Macaca fascicularis: one gene and its partners. The protein of the gene in region 2 interacts with the protein of the main gene of each other region in a pairwise test. Links are inferred from orthologs where the notes say so. Each region holds a gene or a part of one and is shown on either strand. Other genes may lie near its edges. The genes, in order: HMBOX1, SH2D4A and DBNL.

Region 1 (3,649 bases), about 9.8 Mb from region 2:
CAGGAATTTCAAAAGAAATTTTTCAGAGAAAGATACATTGATTAAGTTGTCACTAAGCCAAAGACCATACTTCCCTAGTCCCATAGGAGGTAGATGTCGTATTGGTTTAAATTAACTGCAAGATATTTGCTAAAACTGTCTTATTTATTTCAGGCGCTACACTAAGTATGAGACCAGCCCCCATTCCAATAGAGGACCCTGAATGGAGACAAACGCCTCCCCCAGTCTCTGCCACATCTGGTACTTTCCGACTACGACGAGGGAGTCGATTTACTTGGAGAAAGGAGTGCCTGGCTGTTATGGAAAGGTATGTGTCTCCTTTTTCTATGAGAAATCTCGCAAACTTAGGGAAGACATCAACTCTGGATAGATTGGGACAGTTTTCACTTCAAACAAGTAATTGGGTATCTTGGTTCTATCTCTAAAAGTGCATTAGAATATTATAAATGCTGTATTATTGAAATAAGGTGATCTTAGCATTGAGAATTCATAAAGCTGGAGTTAGCATCTGTCAATTTATTTTACTTATAATAGTGTCCCCAGTAATTTAAGAAATGTTGGAATAAATATTTTTTGAATTCACATCTTTGTATTATATTTTGGAAAACTCTCTGAAGTCTTCTTTTCATCAAAAATATTGAATAATTGTATAGGAGACTACTGAGATTTAACTTTCTTTAATAAGGAGTATGGTCTAAATAAGCTTTGTCCCAAAGGTTAAAAATACTTATTTTTGACTTTGTTTTAGTAATTTATCCTCTCATTCTACAGTACCTGATCCATAGTAGGTACTCAGTGATTTTTTTTTTAACCTAAATTTGACCGTAGCTTCAATTTTCCCATCTGAAATGGTATAAATTAATTATGATTCTGAAATGTTTGGCATACTTAGCATAGATCCTATAGTAGAATTATCTTTTTTAGTCATCTACTTGTAAGTGATGTTTACAGAATTTTTTTTCAGTGGAATTTTGTTTATATGCAGTTAGGTAATAATGTTCCAGCTGTACATTTTTCTTATCTGACCTGACTAGTAGAATTGGTATATTGGACAGAGCACTGGACTCAGAGTCGGAAGACTTACACCCAACTAACTTTGTTTAGGTCACAAATTCTCAGCTGTAACTCCTGTCTAAAATGAAGTTTTTTGATAGCCAGTATGTCATCTAAGACTTTTGCCATCTCTCATCCTGCTACTTTCTGATTATTTCCCAGCTCATGAACTTCACTACCTGAAAGAGAGGGAGATTTAAAATGCCGAAATTCGGATGTTTTTGTTCATGTGATATGGTTGAAATTAATAGGTTTGCTTAAGGTGAAGGTGAGATCCAGTATCCAAAATGAGATTATAGGTTATCCATTGATGTTGTCATCTATTCCTTTCCTCGCTCTCTTTATTATAGATAAGAGCAGAAGCCATTCATTGAATAATGAATCCTTATATTCTTGAGTCATTAAAGTGAAAGAATGAGACATTATTGTCCTGGAGACCTGACATTTACAATCTGCTCTATTTTTCTCATCTAGGAATTTTTATTCTTTTTGAAAATTTCTTTAGAACTTGGCACACAGCAGGTGAGAATTAAAATAATGTCTAACCTAAATTATTTTCAATATTGTACATTTTCCTTTAGGTATTAGTTTCTACCTGGTGCTAAGTTCTAATTGTGCTAGTGACTTAGCCAGTTAGTTTTTTTCATGAAAATACCAGTATATATTTATCACAAAATGTCAGCATGAGAAAGAATTAAGTAAAAAATTGATGACAGTAATATCAATAGGTGATATTCCTAATGTACTTTCAGAGTTGAACCTCAGAGACTTAGGGATTCTTATTTTTCCTAGGTGACAAGAATTAGACACAGAATCACACTGAATTTTAATTAAAAAGATATTGAGCATTTACCCTGTTCTGTGACTCCTATTTAGTCTTAATTTATGCTTTTTAACTTTAATTAACAAATGGCTTTATCTAATGCAGGAGTTGGTTATCTTTGGCTTAATTTTATGTTACCTGGCACAACTAGAAAGAGGATGCAGTTTATGCCAATAGTTGCAAAAGTGCAGAAAACCTTTCAAAATACTTGATAGTACAGAAGGTCACAGTATGATTTTTGTTCTGTAAAAATGTAACTTTTTGTTTTCCAAAATGAAATGCAAAATTCCTGCCCTTAGTATGACACATAAAATTTTTTCTTGACTGAATGGACAAATGAATACATAATGCATAGACTGTAAAACCAGCAAAGAAAGCCTTACTCAGATATTAGTATAAGAGAAAAGTAAGGCTGGACATGGTGGTTCACACCTATAATTTCAGTTTTGGGAGGCCAAGGCGGAAGGATCAGTTGAGGCCAGGGGTTCGAGACCAGCCTGGGCAACATAGCAAAACCCCATCTCTACAAAAAATTCAAAGAATGTCTGAGCGTGGTGGCATACACCCACATTCCCAGCTACTCAGGAGGCTGATGTGAGAGGACTGCTTGGGCCCAGGAGTTTGAGGTTACAGTGAGCTATGATTGCACCACTGTACCCCAACCTGGGTGACACAGTAAGATCCTATCTCAAAAATTAAAATGAAATTTTAAAAAAGTAAAAAATTATTCCATTCTTCATATATCAAGATAAATTTCAAATGAGTCAAAGAAGTGAATCCATATAAATAATAGAAGAAAACATGAATCCATATAAATAATAGAAGAAAACATGAGTGGTCCCTTCATATCCTGGAAATGGGAAAAATATTTCCTAACTGTGACTCAAAATCTAAAAACAATAAAGGAAAAGATCGATAAATATGATTACGTAAATTAAAAGAAAAACTTTGGAGGGAGAAAAAGCTGAGCAAAGTAAAAGACAAATTGGGAAAAAAAATTGCAACTTTTATTATCTCTAATAAAGAGTTCTTAAAAGAGAAAAGACCAACAACTCTATCCTTATTGGGCTAAAGATAGGAGAAAAAAATGCAAATGGTCCTTGAACATATGAAAATATGCTCAATCTAATTGATAGCAAGAGAAATTCAAATTAAAACTACATTGAGATACTATTCTTATCACATTAACAAAAATCCAAAAGTTTGGCAACATTTTCTATTGATTGGGCTGTAGAGAAACAGATACTCTCATACATTACTTGTAGAAATGCAAAATGAAACAACTTAATGGAAGGGAATTCGGCAATATCAAGGAAAATTACCTATGAGTTTACCCTTTGACTTGACCTTCCTACTTCTAGAAAATTATCTTAGGACCAGTGGGTCACACCTGTAAATCCCAACCCTTTGGGAGGGCTGAGGTGGAAGAACCACTTGAGGCCAGGAGTTTGAGACCAGCCTAGGCAACATAGTGAGACCCCATCTCTACAAAAAATACAAAAAAGTGTGGTGGGGCATGCCTGTAGTCCCAGCCATTTGGGAGGCTGAGGCAGGACGATTGCTTGAGCCCAGGAGTTTGAGGCTGCAGTGAGCTGTGATCACACCACTGCACTCCAGTCTGGGTGACAGAGAAAGACCCTATCTCAAACAAACAAAAAAAAAAGAATCTTAAAGATATACTGGCAAAAAATATGAAAAGATAACAGCACTGTTTTTACTAATTTCAAAATACAGAAGATGACCTAAATGTCTATTTGTAGTGACTAGGTCAGG
Region 2 (3,649 bases):
TGTACAAAGATTTCCTCCCTCATGGTCTCAAAAGAACTCTCTCAAACTACCAGAGATTCCTTTGGTAATGAGGAAAAGTTTACATCTGAAAAACTCATTCACACTAAAAAAAGATAGTATTATGATTATTTTCCTTACAGCAGTTCCTTACATTTTAAGAGAGGGTGTTCCCTAAAAAGATACCTCAAAGAAAAATCTCTGAGGTCTAAGAAATGTAAACACAATTGCTATAAATATATTGATATAAGAACTTTGTGTTCTGGTAGTAGAATATAAGGAATCAGTAACAATAAAGGAGATAGAAACCTTTCTTAATACCCCTCAAATCAAACTCCATAGGTGACTTTTTACTACAGCTTCAGGTTAGTCTCATTTCAAGTAAGAGATTTCCTCACAGTTATGCAACTCCATGGTGAATGCTGTGTGTGTGTAGACTTCAAGCAGATATACTGCACTACTGGATTCTCAGTAACATTTAGGATTCATCTACCAAACTGGAACTTGCACTTGCTTTGCTTGTGATTAGTTTGAAATTGTCAAAGCCAGCCAGGAGTTATTCTACCAACACGTTCACAAAAGAAACGTGGCTAAGTTTACCTTTCTTTGGTCTGGGTTTCACTGGCAAGGACTCCTTTCTTTCCATAGCTGCTTCTCTTTCTTTCCATCGTCGGATCTGTTCCTCTCTCATCTTGAAGAACAGGATCTGTTTCTGTTCTTCGCTGAGCTCTGCCAGTAGATCGGGATCTATGTACATCTCCGACAGTATCTGTTTCAGCATCTTTGCAGTTCTGGAGTCTTTTATACCTGTGGCAAAAGTTCCTGAAACTGGCCTCCAGGTGTCCCTCCACCTGTGCTGGCACTTGGGCGTGTCCACAAAACTTCCCGAACAGCTCACAATCCTGGCTGACTGGGGCAATAATTCAGCAAACTGGCTCCTGAGACCTGGCACCAAATGTCCGGTCCAAAATGCTGTTCACTGAACCTACAGAGAGAAAGAGCCCGCATTCAGGTGGCATGTTAAAATGTGTGGACGCTGGCTAGGACGGGTTAAAAAAAAAAAAAAAAGCCAGGAGGAAATACAGTATCACTTTTCATTTCAGGGAGAAAACAGAAAAAGAAAACCTGAGGCACACTTTGTTAAGAGTTTGTGTAACTTCTATCCTATAATTTCTAAAGATACTTTGTCAAAAAAAAGAAAACAAACCCTAACTTTATACAGGTCAATCTCAGGGAAACAAAAAAAGTTCACAGAGGTTTGTCCTGCTCCCAACTAAGCAAACACATGATTACCCCAGAGCCTAACAAACCACCAACTGTGTGGCTGAAAAAAGAAAGGCAAAAAGAAAGGTCACAGGAAGAAATTAAAAGGCTCTCTGCAAAGTACCTATTTCAAAAGAAAATACCATTTTTGAGATGTCACAGAGTAACTCACCCCAAACCAAACCAAAATAGAGCCATGTTCAAGGAAGAAAAAGGAAGAAATAAAAACTAGACCACCATGCAATTTCTGCAATTTCCCTAAAAAGTAGCATTAAATAAACATAATTATGTACTTTCCTCTTCACAAAAGGATAATGTAATTTCCAGGCAACCTACTAGAGCCATGAAAATCAGGGCAGGTGCAAGAGAGAACATCCGTCTACATTCTGGAAGGTCACCGAGTTTTAGGTGTGCTTTTACTAGATAACCTAGTTTAATAAAATCTAAATGGACAGACCAGATAAACTAGCGGGATGAAGAGGTCATTAGGTTCATAACAAAGGATCCTTGATTTATATGAGTTTACTGCATGGCTCCGTGAAAGAGAAACCATAAATCGAGTGTGCACAGTGGCCTCCTAGAGGTTCTCCTGGGGTTGGAAATCCCACTGAGGTTTCATTCTGCTTTCCACATTTCTATTTGGTTGGCTTAAAAATATTACCACACTGTCATACTTTTTCTCTCTATTTTTAAACAATTTCTAAGTCTCATAAACCATCATACTTTTGTAATCAGAAGGAAACTATGTAAATATTTCTATTCTGGAAAACAAGACTTTGGATTCGATGTAGTACGATGTAAGAAAAAAAACTTACTACAACTTTTCAGAATCACATGTGTCCTAAGAAATTCACCAATAGACTAGGCATGGTGGCTCACACCTGTAATCCCAGCACTTTAGGAGGCCAAGGTGGGTGGATCACGAGGTCAGGAGTTCGAGACCAGTCTGACCAATATGGTAAAACTCCACCTCTACTAAAAAAACAAAAAATACAGAAATTAGCCAGGCATGGTAGTGGGCACCTGTAATTCCAGCTACTCGGGAGGGTGAGACAGGAGATCGCTTGAACCCGGGAGGCGGAGATTGCAGTGAGCCGAGATCGCGCCACTGCATTCCAGCCTGGGTGACAGAGACAGACTCCATCTCAAAAAAAAAAAAAAAAAAGAAAAGAAAAAATAAGAAATTGACCAATAATTTGTTGTTTACAGTAACACCTCAATAATCTTACCACCTTGCCATGTGCTCTCAAATATCTTGTTTCTCCATACTATATTCAAACACTCTTAAACTTTAGACAAGTCACTTAGCTATATTATGGCCATCGTAGTGTTGGTTTCTCTTCGTTTACCTTGTCATTGATACAGCTAGATTTGTAATGCTTCTCTCACCACCTGGGGGCCTCCTTCAGCTTCCTGTCTTCCTCCTCTTCCTTGCAAAGTTGTTCCTTGATGTACATCTGTCTTTTGAGACGAGCACGCTCAATAGCTAGGCTACCACAGAATGGTGTGCATACGCAGCACTCAGATTCGCTGACTGTTCATTGCAAAGCCAGACCCTTGATGAAACTACACCTATCCCTACTGACTGCAACCTATCATCTCAGCAGCATTCAACCACCGGAATTCAAATGGAACCAAATATTAAGAGAAAACTTTTAAAGGACTAAAAGTAATGTCACGCCCCCTGCCAGGTCCCCTTGCTAACTTTGTATTTTGCATGGAGATACCCTTAAAGGCTTGAACAGTCAAAAAAATGGATGTCTTGTAATGATTTCTTGACTGTTTCTAGCAGCTTCTGAAGGGGTGGAGCCAATGAAATCCACAAGCTCCAAGATAAAGTGGTAAGAAACGACACGGAATGACTCCTTGACATTCCAGTAAATGTCTTTATGTTCTGTGGTTGGCTTTCGCAGAAATCACACATGGCAGAAAATGAACAGTTCAGTTAGGGTTGAGACTTCCGCTCTGTTCCCCATTTTCAATGCGGTGAGTCCTATTCAAGGCGTGGGTAGAGCCTAAAATCTAAAACCCTTAAAGCGCCAAAGTCACATTCCTACTGTCTCCCCCGCCCTGCATATTCCTGATAACACAGCTAACACTTCTCGTACCAGGCACCATCTTAATTAAGCACTTTACCTGTGTTAACTCGCTTAATCTTCATAATAACCCTTCGAGTCCAGCCCATCACTGTGCTCATTTCACAGATTAGGAAGACAGAGCACAGGTCAGCAGCTGGTAAGCGGCAGAGCCGGGCAGTCCAGCTCTAAGTCAGCTTCACTGTAATCCACAGCACAGAGGCCTTTTTGTGAGTTTATTTGTGTGCCCAGAATCAGAACAGCAGGATGTGGCGCCATGTATGAAATTTCAGAATGGAAGCCAGCAAATTCCT
Region 3 (4,341 bases), on a different chromosome or scaffold from region 2:
TTCTAAATTAGGTCCACAAGCCCTTATCTGCACCATCCAGATCCAAACACCTTAAGATTTTGGTAGTTCATTTGGTAGCAAAAACTGACCTTAATGGCCATGAGGATATTTAGAGTCTTCTTATATTCCACTTAGCTGATTATTCACACACATCACAGCAAAAGTATGAACACGTCTGATTACCAGTTCCTCTCCAGATCCTGTGATAAGGGCTTACAGAGTATACAGGACATATATGGTATAACTTTTCTGAAATCTTAGATTGAATTCCAAAGCACATCTGGACTTAGGGGACTGTAGATTTATATATATATAATACATATATATTTTATACATATACATATATATATATAATTTTCCTTTTTTTGAGATGGAGTCTTTCTCTGTCGCCCAGGCTAGAGTGCAGTGGCGCTATCTGGGTTCATTGCAAGCTCCGCCTCCCGGGGTTCACGCCATTCTCAGCCTCCCGAGTTGCTGGGACTACAGGCGCACGCCGTCACACCCGGCTAATTTTTTGTATTTTTAGTAGAGACGGGGTTTCACGGTGTTAGCCAGGATGGTCTCGATCTCCTGACCTCGCGATCCGCCCACCTTGGCCTCCCAAAGTGCTGGGATTACAGGCGTGAGCCACTGCGCCCGGCCGGATTTATATTTTAAGGAGGAAGGGGAGTTATTCTCCATGGGAGGGAAAGAAGCTGTGAGCTGCCTTGGGCTTTGGCATGTTTCCCTATCACGCAGATAAGAAGCTAGTTCAGTCAGTGTAGGCAGATTTGTGGATGGAAAAACTGGTGTTCACTGGAGGAGGGGAGCAGATTGAGGAATTACTGACACCTTCTAGGGGCGACCATCCAGATGTGCAGGTGAAGCACAAGGCAGGTTCTCTTCACGCCTCCACTATCCTGGCCTCCACCAAATTGCAGAGTGAAAAACTCAGGTGAGAGTGAGAAAGCACAAAGGCACTTTCAGTTAGGTTTGTAGCGATGTGATCGTCACTTAGCATTCATTTATCCGGGTATTCGTACATTTATGCATGTTTCATTCATAGATCAAACTGTTGAGGGTCCACAAACAGGCTGAAGACCTCGTCTGGAGGGAGACTGCAGTGAACCCAAGATCTCTCAAATAAGCGCATCGACATAACAAGATTTAGAAAAGAATGAGCACGGTGCTGTGAGAGCAGCTAGCGGGGGCTGGACTGGGTCCTCTCGGCCAGGCTTCCAAGTCAAGCTGCCGTTTGCGTGGGACCAGAAAACAGCTAGTCCGCGCCCCAGGATCCCTCCCTGAGGACAAACAGAAAGCCGAGTCCTCGCTTCTCCCGCTTGTCTTTCGGCGTTCGCGGGACCCGGATGCTAGACCAGGGGGCCTGACGACTCGCTAGGACCCGCGGGTGCAGCTGGCCCCTGTCATTTCCGCTTCCTGCCGTGGGGCGGGGTTTCCGGTTGTCGGAGGCTAGGCTTGTCTGCTGTCAAAGGGGCGGTCCGGCCCGGAAGCGGCAGCAGCGGCGCGGAGACTGCGGGGCGGGCCATGGCGGCGAACCTGAGCCGGAACGGGCCAGCGCTGCAGGAGGCCTACGTGCGGGTGGTCACCGAGAAGTCCCCGACCGACTGGTGGGCGGCGAGACGGGCCAGGGTCGGGCCAGGGGCTGCCTCAGGGGTGGGTCTGTCTGGGGCGAGCCGGGGACCCGGGAGGAGCGGGAGCGCGAGCAGGGAGCTGCACCCCGGCAGGTGGCCCGGGGCTTACCTGTCTGCCCCCTCCACACCGCAGCAGGAGTGCTGTCTCCCCCCGTGACCCCTTGCCCCGCCGATTGTGGAAAAGTTAAACCCGGCTTGCAGGGACCTAGTGAGTCCCCGCCCCTCCCCTTGCCGCTCGCCACCCACTATGGGCTCCGCGGGCTTCCATGTTGGATCCTCGGCCTGGTCGTGCTTGCTAGCTTCGCCAGGTTCTTCTTTCCAGCCCTGGGACTTCCCTGGAGAAGGGGGCCCTGCATAGCCCTCTCTGAGAAGGCGGAAGCCACGCCCTTTTTTTTGCAAACGCTGTGTTCAGAGATGGGCATTTGAGAACGGCCTGGCGGCCAGGCTGTGAATGTGAGCCCTGCCCTGGGGGCTTCAGACGAGGAGCTCGGGGATCTGGGTTCTTGGCTCTCTGTGAACATGGACTTCAGAACGTTTCTTTCTCCAAAAAGTGTACTCTTTCCTGTGCCTGAGACATGAGAAGATGTACGAAAGTAGGATGCTCGCTATCTATTTGGGAAAAGGTCCCATTTTCCCTCCCCCACCCAAGATATCCTCACTTTCCCATTTGCTTAAATTGTTTTCGCTGACCGATTTTGAGAAATTCCAATTCTGAGAAATATGCTGAGTATGGTGGGCTAAGGTGACCAACTTTGGGGAATAGAAACTGGGCCTTGGAGGCTGAGTCGTGGTGGGGCCACCCTGTGGTCAGCACTGAGGCCCTCCCGACTGTCTTCCCCTTGTATGGGGGCCATCTCCACTTGTACAAGTGCTTTCTCATCTCCTCCGCACTTCCTAGTGCCCAGCACAGAGCGGCTTTTATGCAGTGTACTGTTGTGACCCTGAGGATGTTATGGCTTTGCCTTTTCCTCCGCCCCGGGCCATTAGGGGAAGAGCTTTAGAATAGCAGTTGCTTAGGTCTGTGGGGTGTCTGTAGACTCTCCTGTCAGGTCTGGGTGCCCTGGATGGCACTTATGCCAAACAGCACATCTTCTGTTTGGGAGGCATCTAAAGAAGGATGTCTCGTCACTTCCTTGGTAGGGTTTTCTGCCTGCTTTATAATCCCTCAGATTTACCCACATGTCAGTCAGTGTTAGTTTTCTCAGGAGAGTTTCTAGATGTCAGCCCCCTGTTTTGCCTCTCTCCTATTCCTGTTCGTGTTTCTCTTAGGCCTCTCCTGTTACTTCAAACCCAGTCAAAAGCATCTCTGCAATGAGTGCCCCATTTTCATGTCCTCATGATACCACTTGGCTTTAGAACCCAGAAGAATCTTTGCCCCTCTCCAGCCCTGCCCAGTTAAAGATTTTGCTTCTTAACATGCTCTTGATCACTTTGTTTACCCTGGCAGACTTACCTAGGAGCTTCCTGGCACTCCTGATCTATCTCTCTTCCAGGTCTCTCTTCATCATCAGTCTTCTGAGGAACCATCACTGGTTTGGGATGATGCCTCCTAGCCCACCTGGCAGTTTGGGCTTCCCTCTTCAGACCTCCTATGTTCCTAGCCTTTCCTTGGGCTTCTTACCAGAGCTGTCTGCTACCACTCCTGGCCTGGTGCTTACCCACCCCATCTACTCTCTGTCCCTCATGAGGGTTGTGGAACCTCCTCTTTCCCTTCATGAAGTCAGAACCCACCTATCTCACTGGACTCATCTGCCCAGACAGCCATGCCATGCTCCCTCCCTACCTTCAGGCTCTTGTAGCACTACAGGTTGTGTTACTCAGCAGCATGACCCACTGGCCTCCACCCTCATAGTCACAACCATTAAGGTTACAGCAGATACTGTGTGGTAGATTCCTGCACACTGCGGAAAAATATCTGGACCATGTCACTTCCGTGTCTATAACTCTACAGTGGCTTCCTGTTGCATGTTGAATAAAGCCTAGACTCCTCGCTCTGCTGATGTCCTGCGTGACCCAGAACCTACCACCCCTTTTACTTACCACACTGTGGCCACACCTGTTTGTCACCACTCTGGCCGTCTTTCTCTTCCTCAAACTTACAAGTTGGTTCCTCTTCAGAGTCCTTGCTCTGCTGCTTCCTCTGCGTGGAGCACACTTCTTCCACGTTGTCCCCAGCCTTCACTTCTTTGCCCCAAGGTTGCCTTCTCAGAGAGGCCTTCCTTGATTCCTAGCTCCCTGTCTGTAGGCACTTTTTCCCATCTTTCTGTTTGACTTCCTTCAGACACATGCCAGACACAACATGTGCTGAAAATCCTTATGGGTTTTCTTGTCACCTTTATCTCTTACTGGAAGGGGTGGGGTCTCTCTGTCCTTGGTGCCTGAGGCACAGTTGTTATGTGTAGCAGATGCTTGGATGAAGGATGGACAGAGATTCATACAGAAAAAGTGGTAGAGATATCAGAGGAAGAAGAGGTGGTCTCTAGTTTGGTGGGGCATAAGAGGTTTCACACACACAGTGCTGGCATTGGGGAAGGCAGGCAGAGTGGGGAGCAGCCATGACATCAGCTCTCTGTCTTGAATCTGTCTCCTGCCCCTGCTTACTCCATATCTTGGTATTGATCTTACCTGGTTCATGTGTCACCTCTAGCACCTGCTTCACTCGCTAATAGTACATTAGTGTTAGGTGTGTATTTTTTCTCCCATTAGAAAG

What was found.
Region 1: the proteins of SH2D4A (region 2) and HMBOX1 interact in binary tests that used the Homo sapiens proteins (3 or more experiments, as listed by UniProt). The two-hybrid records come from large-scale screens. The link is inferred for Macaca fascicularis from reciprocal best matches to the Homo sapiens genes SH2D4A and HMBOX1.
Region 3: the proteins of SH2D4A (region 2) and DBNL interact in binary tests that used the Homo sapiens proteins (3 or more experiments, as listed by UniProt). The two-hybrid records come from large-scale screens. The link is inferred for Macaca fascicularis from reciprocal best matches to the Homo sapiens genes SH2D4A and DBNL.

What each region holds. Positions count from the first base shown.
Region 1 is NC_088382.1:32,204,667-32,208,315, forward strand, and holds part of HMBOX1 (homeobox-containing protein 1), read left to right. Parts: intron 1-153; coding exon 154-307; intron 308-3,649. UniProt on the Homo sapiens protein: Binds directly to 5'-TTAGGG-3' repeats in telomeric DNA. Associates with the telomerase complex at sites of active telomere processing and positively regulates telomere elongation.
Region 2 is NC_088382.1:22,384,222-22,387,870, reverse strand, and holds part of SH2D4A (SH2 domain-containing protein 4A), read right to left. Parts: intron 983-3,649; 5' UTR 779-982; coding exon 598-778; intron 1-597. UniProt on the Homo sapiens protein: Inhibits estrogen-induced cell proliferation by competing with PLCG for binding to ESR1, blocking the effect of estrogen on PLCG and repressing estrogen-induced proliferation. May play a role in T-cell development and function.
Region 3 is NC_088377.1:86,295,294-86,299,634, reverse strand, and holds the start of DBNL (drebrin-like protein), read left to right. Parts: upstream 1-1,461; 5' UTR 1,462-1,524; coding exon 1,525-1,607; intron 1,608-4,341. UniProt on the Homo sapiens protein: Adapter protein that binds F-actin and DNM1, and thereby plays a role in receptor-mediated endocytosis.